Astyanax mexicanus: one gene and its partner. The protein of the gene in region 2 purifies or fractionates together with the protein of the main gene of each other region. This does not show direct contact. Links are inferred from orthologs where the notes say so. Each region holds a gene or a part of one and is shown on either strand. Other genes may lie near its edges.

Region 1 (10,867 bases), on a different chromosome or scaffold from region 2:
CAAAAGTAAATAACGGTTGTTTAAAGGTTGTTTGTTTTTTCATCATCAACCTTAAAAGATGTGCATCCAAATCAATGAAGGTTTATCCAGTGTATTATTATTACTATTGTTGTTATTATTATTATTATTATTATTATTATTATTCATAGTACCAGGTACAACATGAAAAATTGTATTACTTTGCTTTTATTATTTTTAATTTGATTATTATTAATATTTACATAAAAATAATAACACAAATATAATACACATTTTAAAAGTGTTATTTAATTATTTAAAATAGGTGTCTATGAATGTAAGTCCACTATATTTTACATTATGTGTAAATAATATTACAGGTGTAATAATAATAAAAATAATAATAGTTATTATTATTATTATTATTATTTATTGTATTCTTTGTTACTAGTTTGTATTGTGTTCATGCAGTGTAAAACATTTAATTATTACTATTTGAGGGGAACACCTTTCAACTACAAGCATAGTGTAGAGAAGTCACAACCTTTTAAAGCTATTTCACACTAACTAATGCCTATTGTTCTGTGTTAAATAAAGGTTGTTTATAGGTTGTTTTTCCATCATCAACCTTAAAAGATGTGATGCACCCTAAAGAAAAGTTTTATCCTCGTGTTGGATCACAGTCACAGAGACTTGAGCTTGAAGTTTACAGGTATCTAACCTTGTCAAGGCCTGAAAGAATCTGCTGCAATTCCTCCGGAGTGACCAGTCCAGCTTTCTGCAGAGCTTTCACATAAGCTTTACTCCCCCGAATGTCTGCATCCCACATGCGCTGATCGTAAGCGATGGACGCGTTGAATTTCTCCATTATTGGATCAGTGTTTCCAACGAACCTGCCGCCCCACAGCTTGTTTCCCTGCTCGGCAGGAACACATGACAGTTAGCTAGGAGGACTTACATTAAATTTAGGTTAGCTTTAAGCTAGCTTGTGGCTAACAGCTGCCTAAATATATCAAGATAAGTAAACAGATCAGCTCTGAAAAACAGAGATAAGTATTGTAATTCAGATTATAAGAGCTCTTACCTCTGATCCTGCCATGCTCCCTCCTCTCCAGTCCAGCTATCTCCTCTCTCTCTCTCTCTGTAGGAGCTACTGAGAGCTAGGTTAGTAAACTTGGCTAGACTGCTGCTGCTGTGTTTTGGCTGCCTATAAAGAAAAGCCTCATGAACTCAGTTAGCTATTGTGTTTACCTGGAACGTGTTCTGTGGTTTGGACACGCAGCAGGTGCTCTGCCCAAAGGAAGGCAAATAATCAGATTAATTAACAGTTACAGGATCATTAACGTGGAAATGCAGGTTCACAAACCAGTGTCAGTCAGTTGATGCAACAGCTGCCACAGCCTGCTGGTTTACAAATATCCAACATATCCCTCCCCTAAAAAACACTTCTCCCCATAATATATCCCTCCTCCTCTCAAACACACTCCTCCCCTCACAAACACTCCACCCCATATTATATCCCTCCTCCTCTCAAACACACTCCCATCTCTGACACTTGGAAAAAATTAAGTCATGATTATGAGATAGATAGAGTCTAAGGGGAATTATCTTTATAATTATGACTTACCATACCTACTGCATAACACAATATGTGTAAATAATATTACAAATACATTATTATTATTATTATTATTATTATTATAAGGAGTAGTAGTAGAAGTAGGAGTGGTAGTAGTGCTTGTGGTATTGTTGTTATTCGTAGTAGTAGTGGTAGTAGTAGTAGTAGATAAACAATAAACATTATTTTTAATTATTTTTATTAATATTTCTATATATTACACATTTTAAAAGTGTTAATAAAACACTTCATTAAAATATGTGTTTTAGAAAAGTAAGCCTACTGTATTACACATTATGTGTAAACTATATTACAACCCCTGGCAAAAAGTATGGAATCACCAGTCTTGGATGAGCACTCCTTCAGACATTTCATTCTGTAAAACAAACTCTGATCAAAAACATGATACAATAATAAGGTCATTCCAAAGTGCAACTTGTTGGCTTTCAGGAACACTCAAAGAAATGAAGAAAAAACATTGTGGAAGTCAGTGAATGTTACTTTTATTGACCAACCACAGGGAAAAAAATATGGAATCACTCAATTCTGAGGAAAAAAGTATGGAATCATGAAAAACAGATAAACAAAAGATGATTCAAAATACATCACTAGTATTTAGTTGCACCACCTTTGGCTTTTATAACGGCTTTCCGTCTCTGAGGCATGGACTTGATGACTGACAAACAGTATTCTGCATCAATTTGGTGCCAACTCTCTTTGATAGCAGTTGCCAGATCAGCTTTGCAGGTCGGAGCCTTCTTGTGGACCATTTTTTTCAATTTCCACCACAGGTTTTCAATTGGGTTGAGAGCTGGACTATTTGCAGGCCATGACATCGACTGAATGTGTCTTTCTCCAAGGAATGCCTTCACTGTTTTTGCCCTATGGCACGATGCATTGTCATCTTGGAAAATTATTTCATTATCTCCAAACATCTGTTCAATTGAAGGGATGAGAAAACTGTCCAAAATGTCAATGTAAACTTGTGCATTGATAGAAGAATTAACCACAGTCATCTCCCCAGTGCCTTTGCCTGACATGCAGCCCCATATCATCAAGGACTGTGGAAATTTGGTTGTTTTCTTCAGGCAGGCCTCTTCATAAATCTCACTGGAACGGCACCAAACAAAAGTTCCAGCATCATCACCTTGTCCAATGCAGATTCTTGACTCATCACTGAAGATAACTTTCATCCAGTCATCCACAGTCCATGATTGCCTCTCCTTAGCCCACTGCAGTCTTGTTCTTTTATGTTTAGGTGTGAATGATGGTTTTCTTTTAGCTTTCCTGTATTGAAATCCCATTTCCTTTAGGCGATTTCTTACGGTTCGGTCACATACATTGGCTCCAGCTTCTTCCCATTTATGCTTCATCTGTTTAGTTGTACTTTTTCGGTTTTCAAGACAAATGGCCTTAAGTTGCTTGTCTTGACGCTTTGATGTCTTTCTCGGTCTACCAGTACGCTTGGCTTTAACAACCATTCCATGCTGTTTGTATTTGGTCCATATCTTGGATACAGCTGACTGTGAACAGCCCACATCTTTAGCAACCATGCGTGAAGAGTTACCTTCTTCAAGAAGTTTCACAATCCTCTCTTTTGTTTCAAGAGACATTTCTCTTGTTGGAGCCATGGTTCTTGCCACTCTAATTCGTCCAGCAGCCCTCCAAGGTGTCATGACTGCAGGTGTTTTTAACTGCAGACTAACGAGCAGATCTAATCTGAGGCAGGTGTCCATTTAGGGAAAGGAAATTGACTGGGTGTGTCCTTATTTTCTACCTTCAATTTGAGTGATTCCATACTTTTTTCCTCAGAATTGAGTGATTCCATATTTTTTCCCTGTGGTTGGTCAATAAAAGTAACATTCACTGACTTCCACAATGTTTTTTCTTCATTTCTTTGAGTGTTCCTGAAAGCCAACAAGTTGCACTTTGGAATGACCTTATTACTCTATCATGTTTTTGATCAGAGTTTGTTTTACAGAATGAAATGTCTGAAGGAGTGCTCATCCAAGACTGGTGATTCCATACTTTTTGCCAGGGGTTGTATAAATTAATAATAATAATAATAATAATAATAATAATAATAATAATAATAATAATAATAATAATAATAATAATAATAATAATACTATGTTATTTGTAGTTGTAGATAAATAAATGACAAATATTATTAATTATATGTAATTATTTTTAAAATAAAAAAATATTTTTAACTAAACTGTGGCAGATATGTCGTTGACTTTGTTGTAGGAACGCATGCGTGGGGTACTGTTTCTACCCGACGGTTTACAGGCGCGGACCCTAACAGAGTGCACTATGGAAGTGTAAGAGTGTTTAAAATGTTTTTGTTTAGACATGAAAATTTAAATGAAATATATTATATGTCACTGTTTGTTTAACTGGTTACGAACATTAAAAATATATTACTATAATAGATATAGATAAACCGCTAATGTAAATATTAACCGGGTGTCTGGCTCGTGGCGCCGCTGGGAGGTCTAGGCAGTGCTGAGTGAGGTTAGGAGAAACATGAAGAGCTGCTGCTGGTTTATGGGCTTATTAATCTACAGTTACCCACATCTAACCTCGAGTCTTGGGGTAAACCAATATAAAATAGCTAGAAACACAAAATTATGTTAGGAAGACATCCATGCTAAACAACCGGATAAGCTACTAACAATACTCTTGGTGAAAACTTCTAGAATACTGTACTGTAAAAAAAAAATTGAAGTGTTATAATTGCATTTAATGTGATATGGCACACCCCTGACTAAGATATTAAAAAATACAATACTTTTTTATCAGATAACAGATCTGAAATGTCATGATACTAATAATGCACTGTTAATATCTCCATATATCCAGGACTAAAGTAAAATAAATGATACTGCACAGATATACTCTGTAAAAGCGAATTTTTGTTTTGCTAAAAACAACAGAACTTGATGTGATAATTAGGGAAGAGTGATGTGGCACGATATTTAAGGGTATAAAATTATCTACAATATTAGTATTTTCTCAGTGTCCTTAAGTTACCTGAAATAGTTTTCTTAGTGTCTTGAAGAAAGGAGTGCTGAACAATAGTTGCTGCTTTTTCTTCACGCTGTAAAGTTCCAGCTTTTGTTGGGTCCTTACATTGTTTCATGTGTTTAATATCAATCTACAATGTAGTAAATAAATAAAGAAAAAAATCTATGATGTGTGTTCAAACTGACTGGTACTGTATATATAAGTAACATTTTACAGTAAGAGTACAACTTTTTTTATCTAATTATTTACATAATTCCTATGCATTAAAGAATTTAAATGTACTAATGTTTAATAATATCTTATCTAGGGTCAATTAAACATGAGGCATTACTTAACCATTTAAGTGTTCATTACTGTTATCAGTAGTGTTTATTGTGACATATATGCATACAAATTGTGACCTAAAATACCATAAGCTTGTGTGGCCCTCATTTGCATTACATATGTTAGGTAACAAATGTCAATGCATGCGTCCACAAAACTAGTCTTTATTAATGCATTCTGCTGCAACTCCTGCTTTCACTTTCTAAATGTTGTGTTTAAATTTGCCACAAAGCTCTTTACCATAAGTAACCTTTATGATTGTGTAATCACTCTACTGATTTAGCTCTGGTTTAGTCCTGGGTTGTAAATAGAGATATTTGAATGAAATTTTAAGTGTTGATTCTTCTCAGCTGAACATCATTTTGAACAGCACAACTTCACCTACCATTGCTTAAATTGTTATTTAAACACTTATCCATGTCTGTGCTGCAGGAGGGATGCAAATGCTGCCATGCTCAGCAATTTTGAGGTCAGTAATTTTACTTATGTTTACGTCTATTAATCAAGTACACTATTAATAATTTTTATTTTATTAAGTAGTATTGATATGTCAAAAATGACTGAAAGACACATTGATGCTTTAACCATCCATGCACAGAAAAGGAAATATTGGTTAATTTCAGGCTTTTTAGTTTGCTGAGGGTTTGTAAATTTGTGTTTTGTGCTTTTACCCTGTTAGGTGTATCAGCTTCTCATTGAGCTGAAAGAGAAGAGAAAAGAGATGGTTAAAAACAAGCATAGCACTGGACAACAGAACCTTAACACAATAATGTATGAGGTTAGTGACCCGGCAGAGCATTCTTTCCATCAAGTTTTACATTGCGGTGCAATGATTTTTAAAATCTTTTGTTATGATATAGATTAATAAAAGGGCAACCACAAAGAGCCCAAGATAAATGAAACTTATTTTTTATATTTGTTGGTATTTATTATTATTAATCAAGGAGAACAGTAATACAATAATGGTGAATAGATTGTGTATAGTTTGACAATTATTAAGATTTATTTCTTTCATTTTACCCACCCCTATTTGTCTCTCTATTATTTGAGCAGTGTTAACAAATGGGATGACTGGGCTTTGTTGCTTACATACTTACTTAATTATGTTAAGTAGAATTCTGTACATTAACTGCAGCATTATACAACTGTTTAATTTTTTTATTTAATCATCATGCAGTGTAGAAAATATTTACATATTCCAGTCAGCCTTCATGTATATTTTTATTCTGTTGCTTGTCTTATTTCTCCTGCAGACTCTGAAGTACCTCTCTAAGACGCCATGTTCTCACCAGAGTCCTGAGAATGTAAAAGATTTCCTGACTGCAATGCTCCCACACAAACTCACCAAGTAAGAATAGTCATACTGGCAACTTTGGCCCATTTCTAATGCTGTTCAGTTTTTGGTTGACTTGATTTATTTTTGCTTTTGAAAATCCCCAGCAGCTTGTTCTAAACTTACACTTGACAGTTCATCTGCTATGTCACATGTGCTGTGGTGCACGTTCACTTTGTATCTCTAATTACAGAGTGTGGTTTGTCTGCCCTCTGCTGATCAACTATATAATTTTCACTTTGAGACACAGCACGGTGCACTTTATGACTTGTCATGTGGCGTAGCAGCCTGCAGTAAATTGTATATTGTGTCTTCTCTCTTTTGTCTTGTCACCGTTGTATGGATTATGTCACTGTTTGGGAAATGTTTAGTCAGATTTCCTTTTCATCCTTTTCTTACTTTTTGTCTTTGTGTCTTTTCAGGGCCGAGAAACTGCAGCTCTTGAACCACAGACCAAAAACGGCCGTGGAGATCCAGCTGGTCAGACTTTTCTTTTTTTCTTTCATTTTTTATGTCTGTTTCTAAGGTAGACTATTTCTAGTTGTTTGCTGCAGTGATTAAAGAATATTTAATGTATGAGTACCTTTGCATACATGTATACATGTGTATGACATGTTCTATATAAACTGTTCTTTTTTGCATAGATGGTAGAGGAGAGTGAAGAACGATTGTCTGAAGATCAGATAGAAGAGCTTATACAAAAGGTCACTGAAATCCTCCCTGGAGACCCTCAGCAAGAAGAAGGTGCTCCTGGAGATGCTGAGATGGATGCAAATGCAGACCAGTGATGAAATCTCAGGAAACCCTTCACCACAATCTATTTCCTGCTTGTTTTGAAGTCTGCATTTGTATGGTGGTTTATAAGGTCCTATAAGATGAGGAAATAACCCTTTAAGATTAGGAGCGAGGATGTTGTTTTGAACTGGGTGCATTTTGTTTCTCATTACATTAATGAGAGTTTGTGTTGCCAGTATTTATATGTATAAATATAATGAATGAAACATATGAGCAACTTAATTGTGGTGACCATGTAGTTTTATGTTAATTATTAGCATTTTTTTTGACTGAACTGATTTATTTTTGTGTAAATGGTGTGTCATTACATACTGTACATGAACTACCATTTAAATTGTAGTTCATGTACAGTGTGTATTGAAAGTTAGCTGGAAAACCTAATAATAACACCTGTTTTAAATAAAATATCATGAAATCCAACATTTTGTTTTTTTTTGTTTATGCAGAGCCACCTATTAATCCCCTTGCAGTTTAGTGCAGTCAAAGGATTGTTTTCTCAAAAAGGGTGTTGGTGGTTAGAAGCTGGAGCCAGGGTGTTTAAATGGGTCAGGGGAGAAAAAAGGATGTGTGCAATTTACAGCAGAGCAAATACATACTTCCTCTCTTTCGCTTCTCTGTTAAAACATAACATACAGGCTTTACTGAACAACAGATCACTACACACTGTTTAGTTGTCTTGAGCCAGTCTTACTTTGGTTTTACCTGTTAGCGATGGTGGATTGTAACAAAGTATGTGTAATTTGTTACTGTACTTAATTTTTTTTTTTTATCTTATATTGTGAAATATTATTTTCCATTACACTGCACACATTTTTAAAGTCTATATGTAATTTTTATTCCTCTTAATTTGTTTCTTTTGGCTTCTTTTGCATAAAAACAACCTGCCGAAACACAAGAATCAAATGAAAGAAACATGTTGTTGCACTTGATATTTGGGGCAGCGGTGGCTCAGTGGTTAGACCACCGGGCCATTGACTGCAAGGTTGTGCATTCAATACCTGTGTTTGACAGACCTTCACTTCACTCTGTGAACTGACATAGATACTGAACATCCTAAAAGCATCACAGGACAGTGTGTGATTGTCTGGAGATAAAACTAGCTAATTTTAATAGTGCAGCTTTAGCTCACAGGTCTTTTCCAAACATGTAACCATTCAAATGCTTAAAAAAAGAAAGAGTGGCCCAAAATGCCATTGTAACTAGTTCTGGTACAATTTCCAGAACAAAATGTTAAAATACTAATTATGAAATTGTGGTTATACTATTTATATCATGATTTTAAAATTAAATAGTTTTTCTTTTATCACAGTGAGACAGAAAAACATAAATTAACTGCTCAAGTAATTTAACATATTTGTGCTTTTGGATCCATAATCTGAATTGCGTCTGGCCTATTATGGGCTACATATATAGATGTGACATAATAATAAATATTCAGGTGTAAAACTAGGTTCAAAAACAGTTTTTGATAAACAAAATACAAACTAATGTGAAATGTTTTTTGTTTGCAAAAATGAAAAGGGTGTAAGGTATTAAACAGGGTATGGGTTTTGGGACACTACAATATATTGTATTACAACATAAATATTACAATATGCATGCTGTATTTCATACGAAAATATTTTGTGTATAATAAATTAAAAAAAAGTACAAAATATATCCTTTTTAATTTTTTTTTTGTTGAAAAAATAAAAAATAAATATATATACCTGGTCACCGTAACTTCAGGTCTTGATATTGACTACATTACATTCTGTTAAAAGACTAAATCTAATCTATTTGAATCTAATATATATCTGAATCTAATAATTTGATTAAGAAAGAGCCTTTTATTAAAGTTTTAATAGGAAATTAATGCCATAATAAAACATGGTATTACATATTTTAAAAGCTTAAAATTCATATTTGTATTTCATAGTTCAGCCAATGGTGTGCAGCAAGGTCCAGAGAGTAAAAATCCATTCCAGGATTTTGTTTCAACTGCATGGGTGACTCTGCAGACCAACTCTAACACCAGGAAGTTGGAACATAATCCTGGCATGGATTTAAATTTTCTGGACCTGAATTGCCAATCTCTAACAACCAATAAGATTGGAGTTTGCTGGAGGAGAGCTCCAGTGGCTGTGGTTTAGTGAGCTGTCTTGAAGTTCAGTCTTGCATTTTAGGTTGGACAGTCATCTGTGAGCAAAGCTTATTGGACAAAGTTCAGTAGAGACTTAGAAAAGAATAGAAAGCGTGTTTTGTAAATAACATCTCTGTTAAATAGCTACGTAAATGGGTTTAGCTCAATTTCGAGCTGCAGTCTAATGCTTCACTTACCTGGGTTCCTTCATGTCTGTTTTAACACTTCAGGTAAACTTAGCCTTAGTACTTTTAATTTTTTTTATTTAATTTAATTTTCACCACTGCGAGAATGACCGACTGGGAGCTGCTGTAGGTAAGTTAACGCTACCTAACCTAGCTAATAACTAAACCATGTTAATATCACGTTCTCCTTGTTTGAATACGAAATATAACGTTGGGATACCAAAAGAAATTCAGATTTAGGACTATCGACTGCCAGCCGGGTTCACACTACCTCCTGTAATCACAAGAACGTTAAAAATCTAACCTAGCTAATTTAGCTAGCTAACTAGCTAACGTTACTAACCACATTGTCGCGTGAACTAAACTAAGCTAAGCTAACTAATGCTATACAAGCAACAGCCTTTTCAACGTGTGTAGCCAAACATTTTGATGTTAGCCAGCTAGCTTAGATAGGTTAACTAGATGGTTACCTAGCCTGCTCGCGTTGTCAGTGGAGAAAGGCAAACATTGTCGTTTTTCATATCATATTATGGTGTGAGAGTTAGCTAGCTATCGTTTTCGTATGATTTATTTCGCGATATATTTCATGAGCGCTTAACATACTGTTCTGTGTGTGGTAGTTAGCTAGCTAATCATTTCCATTGTCGACTAGCTAAACTGCGCTGCCAGACCTCTGCTGCAGCTGTGCTGTTAGGTTACCTGTCTTTTCTGAATGCCTCTTACAGACCAAAAAGTGTGTCTTTTATTGACCAAACATGTGTAAACATGTTTACCGTTTAGGCTTGAAATCGTGTGATTGTAAAGCCTCCCGCAGTTAAATACCAAGGTCTAGATCTGAGTAATTTGTTGACCTGTTGCTCAAATAAAGACGATAAGATCTGCACAGCTGCAGTGTTTGACTATGCAGTCTGAGCTGCACTAATGGATAAAAATGGATTAGGCCCATTCAGCTACTGTTTACATTACACTACAAACCAAACAGCTGATCCCTTTAGATTGGATTTACAGCTTAATAATTTGTGGTGCTTCTAAGAAAATTATCAGCAAGGAGTTCCCAAGGTGAAAGCCTATTTGCAGGGGAAAAATATAAAAATAAATAAGCTTTTTACTTAAAGAAGCAATCTTTATGATTTCTTTTTTTAAATTGAAAGCAGTAATATGCCTGAGTTGAGATTTGTCAAAATAATATAATACATTATTTCAAAGGGCTTCATTCTTGAGGTGGGGGGTTTAATCCAATTATTTTTTAAAGTGAAATACAAGGACCATATGTGTGCATTGTGTTTAATAGAAAAGCTGTATGTTCATGTTTCATCTGGACCATGGGTGCAACATGGATCAAAACAGTACAATACAGGCTACATAACACTTAAACAGGCCTCTGCCTTTTTTGGATGTCGTTGTCTTAGACATTATTTATAAGGCAATGTATTAGGTCATTTTTTTGATAATTGTACATTGAGATTGTAGTAACCTAAATTATTTAGACATTACTTTTAGTG
Region 2 (10,867 bases):
TCAAACAGTTGTCCTATTCTAACGCTGCACCGGACCTCCGTAAGAACAGCACCGGAAAACAGAGGTTTAGTATCTTAAAGCCATTTTGTGTCACCTGTTATACCTGCATCTCATAAACAACAAAATGTCGGACTGATTATTTTTTACTTTCACTTTAAATACGCAGCTCATCAGCGCCCCACAGCGGAATGTAGTGGAAACGCAGCGCCACTTTTTCACAAATAAATAAAGCGAACACCAGGTCCTGTATGACCTTCCTACAACGCCTGGGCGTGCTCCTGATCTGTATTAAAGCATCAGTCAACTCCTAGACAGTCTGTGATGCTACCTACCATTGATGGATATCCCTGCACAGTGTTGGGCTGTAACAACAAGCCCCACTTGTTTCTGACAGTTTAAGCAGAAAAACTGATATTAGTGGTCTGCTTGACACAAAATGGATTTAAGATACTAAACCTCTGTTTTTCGGTGCTGTTCTTACGGTCAGCGACTGGGAGTCAGGAACCATGAGACCAAAACACATCTCCTGCATGACCAGAGCTGTATATGTTATGTCACTGTTAATCACTAGAGAGATCTCTATTAAACCATGATACAGAACAGCTGTAAATAACACACAGCTGGACTCTATTACCTAATTAAGTGTCAATTAATTGCATTGGTTTTTATTTAGAGGGTTCAGAATTAAGGGGGTTAAATACTTTTGCATGACATATTTTTTAGATTTTTATGATTAAAATTTTGGAAACCATGTATCATTTTTGTTCCACTTCACAATTATGTGCTACGTTTTGTTGGTCTATCACTTAAATCTCAATAAAATACATACAATTTATGGTTGTTATTTGAAAAAAAAATGGAATACCTCTCTAACTCTAAGCCCTGTGAGCTGCCTCTGACTTCCAAACTGTCCCTAAAAAAAAACAAAGAGATTTAACAATTTTTTCCATTTGTTAAATCTCTATTTTATTTCTCTTCCTATTTTCTGTATTCCTTTATTATTCACAAATTATCATTTTCTGTTTCTGTTTATTATGTTTTTTTCTATTTATTATGTTTTTTAATTATTGTATTTCAGCCAATTCCTACCATTCCAGGTTTAATTTGATCATTACACTACTCTCCACAGTCTAAAAGCTGACTTCCACATAATCTGCAGAATTCAGTCATACAGGTTTCTTTCTACCATTGCTATGTGAGCAGAAGGCCAGTATGTCTTTAAGGTTTATCTCTCATATAACATTATTACAAATAGTCCACCACCAAAGTTATGGTGTTAACTGGACAGTATAAAGTAAATATAATATTTGTCTATGTAATATGTTTCTATGTAATAATGTGTTCATTTTAAAGTACTTTCAGAGCTTAAAATATAGCTCTTCAAGAACAGGCTCAAACAATAATTATACACCAACTTTATAAAAGCATAAATGAAATGATCACTGCTTTAAAGGACACTGATAATAGATATTACACCAATACTGAGATGCGTTCACAGAGATTGTTCGGTAGTAAGATTGTGGGATAGAGTAGTAAAATACAGTTTTATCACTTAACCAGAGTACAATCCAACACATTTACTACACTCTGAAAAGCCACACTTTGAACTCTGCTATCTGCTGCTCTAAACAACAAACTCTCCTATTACTTTCTGTTTCTTTTTTAATGACACTGGGTGTTTTATTGGAAATTATTGTCTTTATTGTGAGTTCAGTTCATGCTAAAGAGTCATAATAAGAAGCCACAATTCACACATATTACACAAATCTTCAGCTGTACTGAAATCTAACAAATCCAGACTAGTGAAATTCTTAAATATTCTGTTACTGTAGAAACTGGGCAGATCTCTTTACTTGTTTTATGATATAAATGTGTTGTAGAATCACTTTCAGATTTCTATCAAATATATACCAGAATATCAGTGCTTTTACATTCCAATGCTCACAAGGTGCTTACCACACACAGCTATGCCCTGAACACACCAAACCTGATCCAGATCTTAAAGGGTTTAATAATTAACTGAAGATGTGGTGTGTTGTAACTGAGGATAATTTAAACTGGCCCTGGATATAGATTCTGAGGAATGCCTTATGCAACAACGACACCTTCTGGACAATCTAGTAAACAGTGTTCCACTCAGCTCCTTGGAAAATGTCTAGAATTTGTTCTTCTTCTTTGATACATTTTTCATAGTAGATAAATTAATAATTTAATAATTTCTAAACATTCTCATGTTTAACCCCAAAAGAGCTGTCTAACATTTTTAATTATATTAGCAAAAAACAAACGTATTTTTTTAGCAGTTCAATTGCAATTGCAACGTGACCAGTGAGAGAAAAAATATTATGAATCAATATTATTACAGTATTGTGTTCTGTTCCTCCTTGCTGTTTAGACATTTTTCATTTTAAGTGTTAAATTCAGGAGTTAAATAAGCAGATTTTATTCTATTCTAACACACCTGATCCAGTTTAACCAGCTCTGGATCCAGCTAGGTGTGTCTATATACTGTCCTTCAGTTCTGTCAGAGAGAAAAGCCTAAAGCAGGTCTCATGGCTAGAGCATTTATGCAAAGGCTCATTCTCCGCACTGGCAAAGAGATCTACTGATGCTGCTGTGCTGTGTAATTATTATTAGAATTTAAATCTAATAGATTAAATATGTTTTATTCTCAATAGAGCACGGAAATCACAGGATGTGCTGGAATGTTACAATTACAGATAAAAACAATAACTCGTTTAAAGTGGCGGCTTGTGATAAACATTATGATGGCAGTGCAAAAAACAAAAAAAACAAAACATTAAACATTTAATTGTGTCATGTGTGTGTTTATTTTCTCATACTGCGCACAGTTTAAAAGCCTGCATCTCTGTTGCATTAGTGCATGGCACTCGCATTGCAGTAGTGCATGGCACTCTTTTGATTGGCTACAATCCTTTATCAGACAAGACTGGGAAAACATTCTTCTCCCAGAATTATGAAATAATAAAGTAATAATTATAAGATGCTAAGTCATCATTCTGAAATATTGAGTCATAATTATCAGATAATAAATCATAATTATGGCATAGCAAGTCATAGTTATAAGATATTATCTCAATTATCTCATAATTATGACTTAGTGTGGGACCCATGTTTTTTTTCCAAAAAATCATAATTATGACTAAAATGAGCTTCAGAACAAAATATGAGTCTATGCAATTTGCAAAATCTGATTCTGTTTGCGTTTATTTCTGTGATAACGTGATGATACCGTGAATCTGGAAACTTTACCGCATTAATTGTCACATTGAGAAGTTTTATTTAGCGGTATAAACAACGCCTCTCCCTCCCTCTCCCTCCCCCTCCCTCCCTCTCCCTCCCTCTCCCTCTCCCCGCCACAGGTCATTTTCGGTGTGCGCTCCGTGTTTCTACCCGGACAGTTTACAGGAGAACACCGCTGAAGCAGCGCGGGGTGCAGGTTGCGGTGTGGCTTTAATTACTGATAGAATAAATAGGTTATTTTACTGTAATTTACTTCTAAATAAGCCTCTAGTTTAACCAGTAGATCCTCACTCAATCCAGGATGTCTGACAACGAGGACAAGTAAGTGTTTATAATCGCTAAACAACCCGAGTTTACCCAGACTTTATATCAGAGACAATACTTACGGTACTCCTACTAAAATAAATAACATTATTAATAACCCACTGATTAAATAACCGAGTTTACCCAGTTTATATCTGAAACAATACCACTACTGCTACTATTTCTAATATAAATAACATTAATAATAACCCACTGATTACATAACCGAGTTTACCCAGTTTATATCACCATGTTACCACCATACTACTATTATTTCTAATATAAATAACATTATTAATAACCCACTGATTAAATAACCGAGTTTACCAGGTTATATTAGAAGCAATACCACTACTACTACTAATATAAATAACATTATTAATAACCCACTGATTAAATAACCGAGTTTACCAGGTTATATTAGAAGCAATACCACTACTACTACTAAGTTACTAATATAAATAACATTATTAATAACCCACTGATTAAATAACCGAGTTTACCAGGTTATATTAGAAGCAATACCACTACTACTACTACTAATATCAATAACGTTATTAATAAACCACTGATAACCAAGTTTAGCCAGAGTTTATATCAGAGACAACTACTAATAGAAATAGTCATAATTTTATATATATAATATATTATATAATTATATATATATATATATATATATATATATATATATATATATATAAAGTATTGACTCATTTGTAATGTTGTTGTTGTTAGTAGTAGTAGTAGTAGTAGTAGTAGTAGTATTTTTGTCTCTCTGTTTTACACCCAGTTTTTTTTTTTTTTTTTTTTTTTTTTTTTTTTACTACAATCAACCAGAGTTTAACCTTAAGAGGTTAGAAAATTGAACTGATAAAGGTTAGATTTTCAGGGGTTTTTTTCAGTCTTATAATCTAAATTGCACAAAACAATGAAATATGGAAATTGTGAAAAAAAATTATGAAATGTGAAAAAAAAACACTATAAAATTCGAAAACTAAGTAAAACTTCATTTCTTTTTTGATATATTAAAGTACGTTTTACACCTATTTTAAGAAAATGCTAATGACAAACAATATATTAAAATATTATGGTAATTAAAGTCATATTGTAAAATCAGGATGTATATTTAAAGCAGAAAAGGTCATCATGAATAATTCAACATGTCTGCAACTCTATATCAAACATGTTACTATCAAATGCCAGTTTTCAATAAAATGGTCCATCCAGTCATGCAGTTTGCCATAACCGGGTGGACGCATGCAGGACAGCAAGTATAAAGTGATTAAGCTGGAAAATATGATTTCGGTGTAATCTTTTAATCTTATGTAATTTTAAAGGTTATGAGAATCCATAATGCAAAGTATTTTGATAATAACCTAAATAGTGTGTTATATTTCAGTCAGCTCAGTAGTGTTTTCAGCAATAATGTTGCTGAACCTAGACCTGACCTACTGCAGCAACCCCAGGTCATATCACTGCACCACAGGCTTGTATAGTACTGTATTTTTGCCCTTTTAGGTGCACTTAAAATCATTTCATCCTTCAAGTCACTCTGCTGAAGTACAGAGTTATACAGGAGATTCAGTTTAGTTCTCCAGCAGTATTAGCATTACCCACTAAGCGATATTTTTTTCGCCATTCAGAGGTGAGTATTATCGGCCTGTAGCCTGCTGCTTACCCCGACTAGCACTGCTGGAGCAGCATTAGCATTATGTGCTAACTGCGTTAAGCACTAGCCTTCTTTTTTCTGTTTAGAGGTGAATATATCAGACTGTAGTCTGCGTGTTTACCGTGTTAAAACAAGCTATGTGGGATGAATCGCTAGCTAATATCAGCCTGGCTTACTGGAACACTCAGGGTTCCTTAATGTAGTGCTGGCGGGCGGTGTTAGGTGCTAACCATGGCTAGTGCTAGTGATTAGCTGCTAATGTTAATATTGCTGCACCCAACCTTAGTGGAAATCAGAAAATCTAAGCTTACAGTAAATAAACAAAAGCTCTTTACTCACCCAAATAAACAATTTTCAGAAGAGAAATCTGTGTAGATTAACATAAAGAGACACCCCTGTTCCTTAATAGTGTTGCATAATGTGGCTTATAATCCGGCGAGCCTTATTTATTAAAATAGACAAAAAATAGACAGTTATTGATCGTGAGCAGTGAATTATAAGGTGTACTGATGATTTTTGGGAAAGTTAAAGGATTTTAAGTGCACCTTATAGTGCAAAATGCGGTAGACATTAGGCATGATTGGTGCATGGGTACAGCCTTCACTCTTCTTACCCTCATGCGCCCATCACTCTGGAACAGGGTAAATCTGGACTCATCTGAGCACATGACCTTCTTCCATTGCTCCATTGAGTCCAATCTTTATTCTCCCTCAAATTTGAGTTGTGCATGTGGAAATGCTCTTACTTTCACTATTAACAATGTCACTGAGTTCTAGTTTTTTCTACCATTTGATTTCACCAAGTGTTTAAATGATTGCAGATCATGTTCATTCAAGATTTTTTTTCTTTTTTCTTCCTTCCAGGAAGATGATGTTCCCCTCTGTCCTTCAAGTTTTTAATAATGCGATAACCCGATTCCCATCTCCTAAGATGTTTTCTTTGCTTAATGCATGCCAATAATTAGACTTTTCTAAAAAAAAAAAACAAAAAAAAAAACAACAACAACATATTTTCTATGACCAAAGGATGAGTCTTTCCACATGGATGTTTTTACAAATTAGGAGCTACTCACTGCATCAAACTTAATCACTTATGCAGTAATTATCCAATTGAAGGCTCTTACCTATTTTTTTAATTAAATCCACGTGGTGATTTTTTTTTGCCAGTGTATTAATGTCAGTGTTTTTGCCAGGCAGTGTATTAATGAGTGTTTAAACTCTCTGTCTGGGGGATGTGTGTTAAATGTGCTGTCAGTCTGATTCCTGTATAATCGGTGCTTTCTGAGTGTTGCTGCTTTAATCTGATCCTCTTCTGTCCGTTTCAGCTTTGATGATGGAGATTTTGATGATGTTGAGGAAGACGAGGGACTGGATGATCTGGAGAATGTGGAAGATGTAAGTGTTTTGATCTCTCAGATCTGATTCAGGTTCATCTTTATTAGATGACTAGAGTTGCAGACACTGCAGATTTTGCTCTAGTCTTCTTATCCCAATTAATTAATTAATTAATTTGTTCACCTCAACGTTTCTAATTATGCTTTTCTTAGCAGGAATAGCCCATAAACATAAATCGGCTGATAGGTCCACGTTTCCACAAATATTTTTTTCACATTTTATTTATATTATTTAAAATGTATTTACCAAATCTCATGTCTCACCATTCCCTAATAATTGTAGTCTAAATAATTGCTAAAACATTGCAATTGTATTATTATGCTATCATATCAATAGCATAAACTGGTCAAATAATAACAATTTTGTCATTTGTTTATTTTTTGGACAACAAAATTAAATAACCCAATAAAAATAGATATCATGACAGGCCTAGTCTTTAGGGTTGTGTGAAACATCTCATGATTGTCATTTGGTGCAGATTGGGGGAAAAAGAATAAACATAACTTTTAATACACACTCTTAAATAATTTGCTTACATGCATATATTCTGATATGGTAGTATGTGGCTCAGTGGTATTGCTGTGGTTTATATGGTTTACATTCAAATGTATGAGAGATTATTTATTACAATTACGTTATACATTCTTAAAATTTACTGAAATTAAAAAAGTTGATTCAGGGTTTTTTTGTTTTTTTTTTTGAAGATGTGGCAGAATATACATAAACAGCACAATTTAGGGCTATATGTTTTCAATAGTATACAAACACAATAAAACTTAATAGCAGTATTAGTATTAAAATCAGCATACAAACATATCTTTTAAAAATGGAACCATGCAAAACCTTCTTAGTTAAGGAAAAGTGTAAAATTGTAATAAAAGAAACATGGTGATATACATAGCAAATGAAATCTGTTGATAAACTCTTTGTACTACCAAAAATGCAAATATGATTTCTAAGTCATTTCATTGTTAATCATCAATACTGAACACTGACCCAGTTAGAGCCATAATTGTGTTTAATAAGGTGGATAGGGCCGGGTATAAAAATCGATAGCAATGGTTACCGGTTGAAATGTCTTGGTACTACGAGTGACGAAATGTCTAAAGAAATTTGGGTGCTGGTTTTCAATATTTCGCATGAAACGCACCAAACGCGAGAGAGCTCACACAGCGCGGTAAAAACAACCATTATGGCGCCGTGACGCACACAAGATGAGGATGAGATTACTCATGTTGGCTGCTTCTGTTTCTACTGTATGAGTGTTTTTATCCCAGTAAAATAGAGCAGTAACTACAGCCCTTTTAAATATATTTATACTGTAGCTTGAATTATTTGAATAGATTTTTTAAATGGAGAAAGAGGAATTGTGGCAGATTTAAATACTATAATGCCTCTATTGGCTTCGGGAGTAACATATAGTAAATTTATATAAAACTTGTGTCTTACTTGTGCAATAGAGCTTTTGAGAAATATCTCTTTGAATACTTAAACATAGTAGTTTTTAAACATAGAGTATTTTAGGTCCATTTATAGTGTTTATGGAACTATTTAAAATATTTTGTAAAGGAAGTTGTGTCAAAGTTGTTGGCGTATATTTTTAAGGTCTATTTATGTTCTTCAGCTGTTTTTCTGATAATGAGTCTGATTTCTTGTGCGATAAAGTAAACCCAATACTAATCAAAGCCTTAATTTTATATTATATGTACTACTAACAGTACAGTAACTCAGAAACCTATATTAATGCCAAGTCATGCAATAAAATAAATAACTACTGTGGTATACCTAAAAAGTACCGTTTGGGTATTTGTATCAAGTTTAAGGTACCATACTGGTATCGGTATTGCAAATTTATACACAGCCCAAAGCTAAGCCAATTTCCATTATTAACCCTTAATTTATTGAGTCTGAGTAATAGATCTTACCCACAGTAGCCAGGTTTTAAAAGAAATAAACTGTGTTTTCATTCACTGCAGGTATAAACTTTAGATTAGGTAGGCTGCCGTGACTGGGAGTGGGTTCTAAACAAGCAAAATGGAGAGATTTTCATGTCCATTTGCAATCCCTTTATGGCAGTGAAGTTTGCATTTTAAAGATGCCGTGCAGGACAAGCAGTGGCACATTTAATCAGGGCTAAAGTATTATATCTGGGAGTGCAAACAAAGCACACTATTTTAGGGGAATGTAGTTTATTTTTTAGAGCAGGTTTGGATTCAGCATTTCTGACAAAAACATAATTTAAAAAGCTCTGCATTATGATTAGACCATCTGTAGGACCTTTCCTTTCTAATCATCCACCTGTGCAAACTGACAAGAGAGTCGCCATACTTGTATACAAGCTGGGCACTTGCGCAGGGTATAGAGTAGTAAGTGAAACATTTAGTGTAAGCATATAAGCTTAATACATAATAATATATTCGGAAAACCCTTCTCCATCCCGCTTTTCTGCATTTTGGCGAAAAGTCAGAGATATTCTGACTTTTCTTAAATTTTGACCTTTTTCCATTCAGTCAAAAACTCTAGTCACTCTCTGGATTTCACATCTTTTTTACAGCAGTTGATCCAAATCAAAACCAAAAACACACAAAAAAAACTGCAACAGGCATATTAAGTTTAGTATTGCGTTATATTGTAATGTAAAAAACTGAGTATTAATTAAGAATTCTTAGAAAGTATTATCTGCATAAATAAGCCAGTGTAAGAAAAAATGAATAATTAAAGATGACTAAATGTCAGTAATCGTTCAGTTAATGATACTTGTTTTGGTATTTATCATATACTATTATTGTCTTTTAAAGTTATTAATACAATGATTCGTTAATGTTGTCTCCAGATATTGTCTGCCTGTTTTAAATATTTAAAATTGAAAGAAACAGTGGTACTTTTTTTTTTTTTTTTTTTTTGGGCTGTTGTTGCTTTTTTTATGTATTAAAAACATTATTGAGAAAAAAAAAATGTGTGTGTGTAGGAGGATCAGGAGAACGTGCAGATTCTCCCTGCTGGAGAGGGTCAGCAGGCCAATCAGAAGAGAATCACCACCCCCTACATGACCAAATATGAGAGAGCCAGAGTACTGGGTACCAGAGCACTGCAGATCGCGTGAGTTCTCACACACACACACACACACACACACACACACACACACTCTGAATATGTTTTTTTTTTTTTTTTTTTTTTTTTTTTTTTTTTTAATACATGAAATAATCATTTTGCCAAATTTGGTGCCGGTTTCCTGTTATTCATTCGTTTACAGCCTGAAGACACATTAAATGATTTATTCAGGTATGCTACAATCAAGTTAAGAAAGTAAAGACTATTTATTTATGCTGAAATATAAATTAAATCTTTACATTTAATTCCCACCACCCCATACACACAGGTGCTTCTGTTTGATGGTGAAGCTCAGTACATTAAAATATTCAAATGAAAAAGCATTAAAGATATTGTCATAAAGTAAAAATGGCTTAAATTACACAACACCTATTATTTTTGTCTTCCTCACAAAAAAATACCAGCATACAAATCCTTTTTTTGAGATTTACCGCAATAATATAAATATTCAGTTTCAATTAAACACAGAATAATGCTAGTTTATTAAATCACATCGTCTTTAAATCAGTTTTATACCACATTTTTGATAATGTTAATTTTTACGTTGCAACAAAGCGTATAAGGGTTGTTTTGAGCACGCTGCATGCGCTCTCCATGGTTGGTGTTAATGCACTCTCTATGCTTGGTCAGTAGTACCAAGAAATTTCTGTCTCAAGAAAAAGGATTTTTGGTATCGAATTTCGATACCCAGCCCTAACCAAAACCATCCTTTGACTAGGGCTGCAACGATTAGTTGACGTAATCTACAACATCAACTAGTGTGAGACTAGCATTAATTGAGTGTGAAAGAGAGAACGTGCACGTGAAATAGTTGCAAATCCAAAATGCAAAGCCTTTTCTCATGCCAATGAGGTTTCAGTATGGGTGGGACTTGCAGCAAGTGAGAAAGTGGGAGAGAGAAAATGCAGTAGAGAAAGGCGTGCATACAGTGTAGTAGCAGCGCTGTGTCAATTAAAACACAAACCTATCTGACTCAACAATACTCTCCAGTCGGTCTTTGCTAGTTCTGTACAGTTGAAACACCAATTTCTAAATTACCCCTGGTAAGTTAAATTACTGCAAAGAGCTGCTGAGGTGAGATTAAACAGGATTTACACCTTCATTTACATTACATTAGTGTTACTAA

Evidence for each region. The genes of interacting proteins can lie anywhere in the genome.
Region 1: the proteins of polr2f (region 2) and DNA-directed RNA polymerase III subunit RPC9 purify together in Homo sapiens (affinity purification with mass spectrometry; 5 studies listed by BioGRID and IntAct, with this or other methods). This does not show direct contact. The link is inferred for Astyanax mexicanus from reciprocal best matches to the Homo sapiens genes POLR2F and CRCP.

Annotation. Positions count from the first base shown.
Region 1 is NC_064424.1:10,203,357-10,214,223, forward strand, and holds DNA-directed RNA polymerase III subunit RPC9, read left to right. Parts: upstream 1-3,829; 5' UTR 3,830-3,832; coding exon 3,833-3,900; intron 3,901-5,362; coding exon 5,363-5,399; intron 5,400-5,609; coding exon 5,610-5,708; intron 5,709-6,183; coding exon 6,184-6,278; intron 6,279-6,685; coding exon 6,686-6,743; intron 6,744-6,907; coding exon 6,908-7,051; 3' UTR 7,052-7,478; downstream 7,479-10,867. Other genes in the region: asl (argininosuccinate lyase), read right to left, coding at 680-874, 1,043-1,057. UniProt on the Homo sapiens protein: DNA-dependent RNA polymerase catalyzes the transcription of DNA into RNA using the four ribonucleoside triphosphates as substrates.
Region 2 is NC_064410.1:9,735,901-9,746,767, reverse strand, and holds the start of polr2f (DNA-directed RNA polymerases I, II, and III subunit RPABC2), read left to right. Parts: upstream 1-3,411; 5' UTR 3,412-3,565; coding exon 3,566-3,585; intron 3,586-6,560; coding exon 6,561-6,630; intron 6,631-9,598; coding exon 9,599-9,729; intron 9,730-10,867. UniProt on the Homo sapiens protein: DNA-dependent RNA polymerase catalyzes the transcription of DNA into RNA using the four ribonucleoside triphosphates as substrates.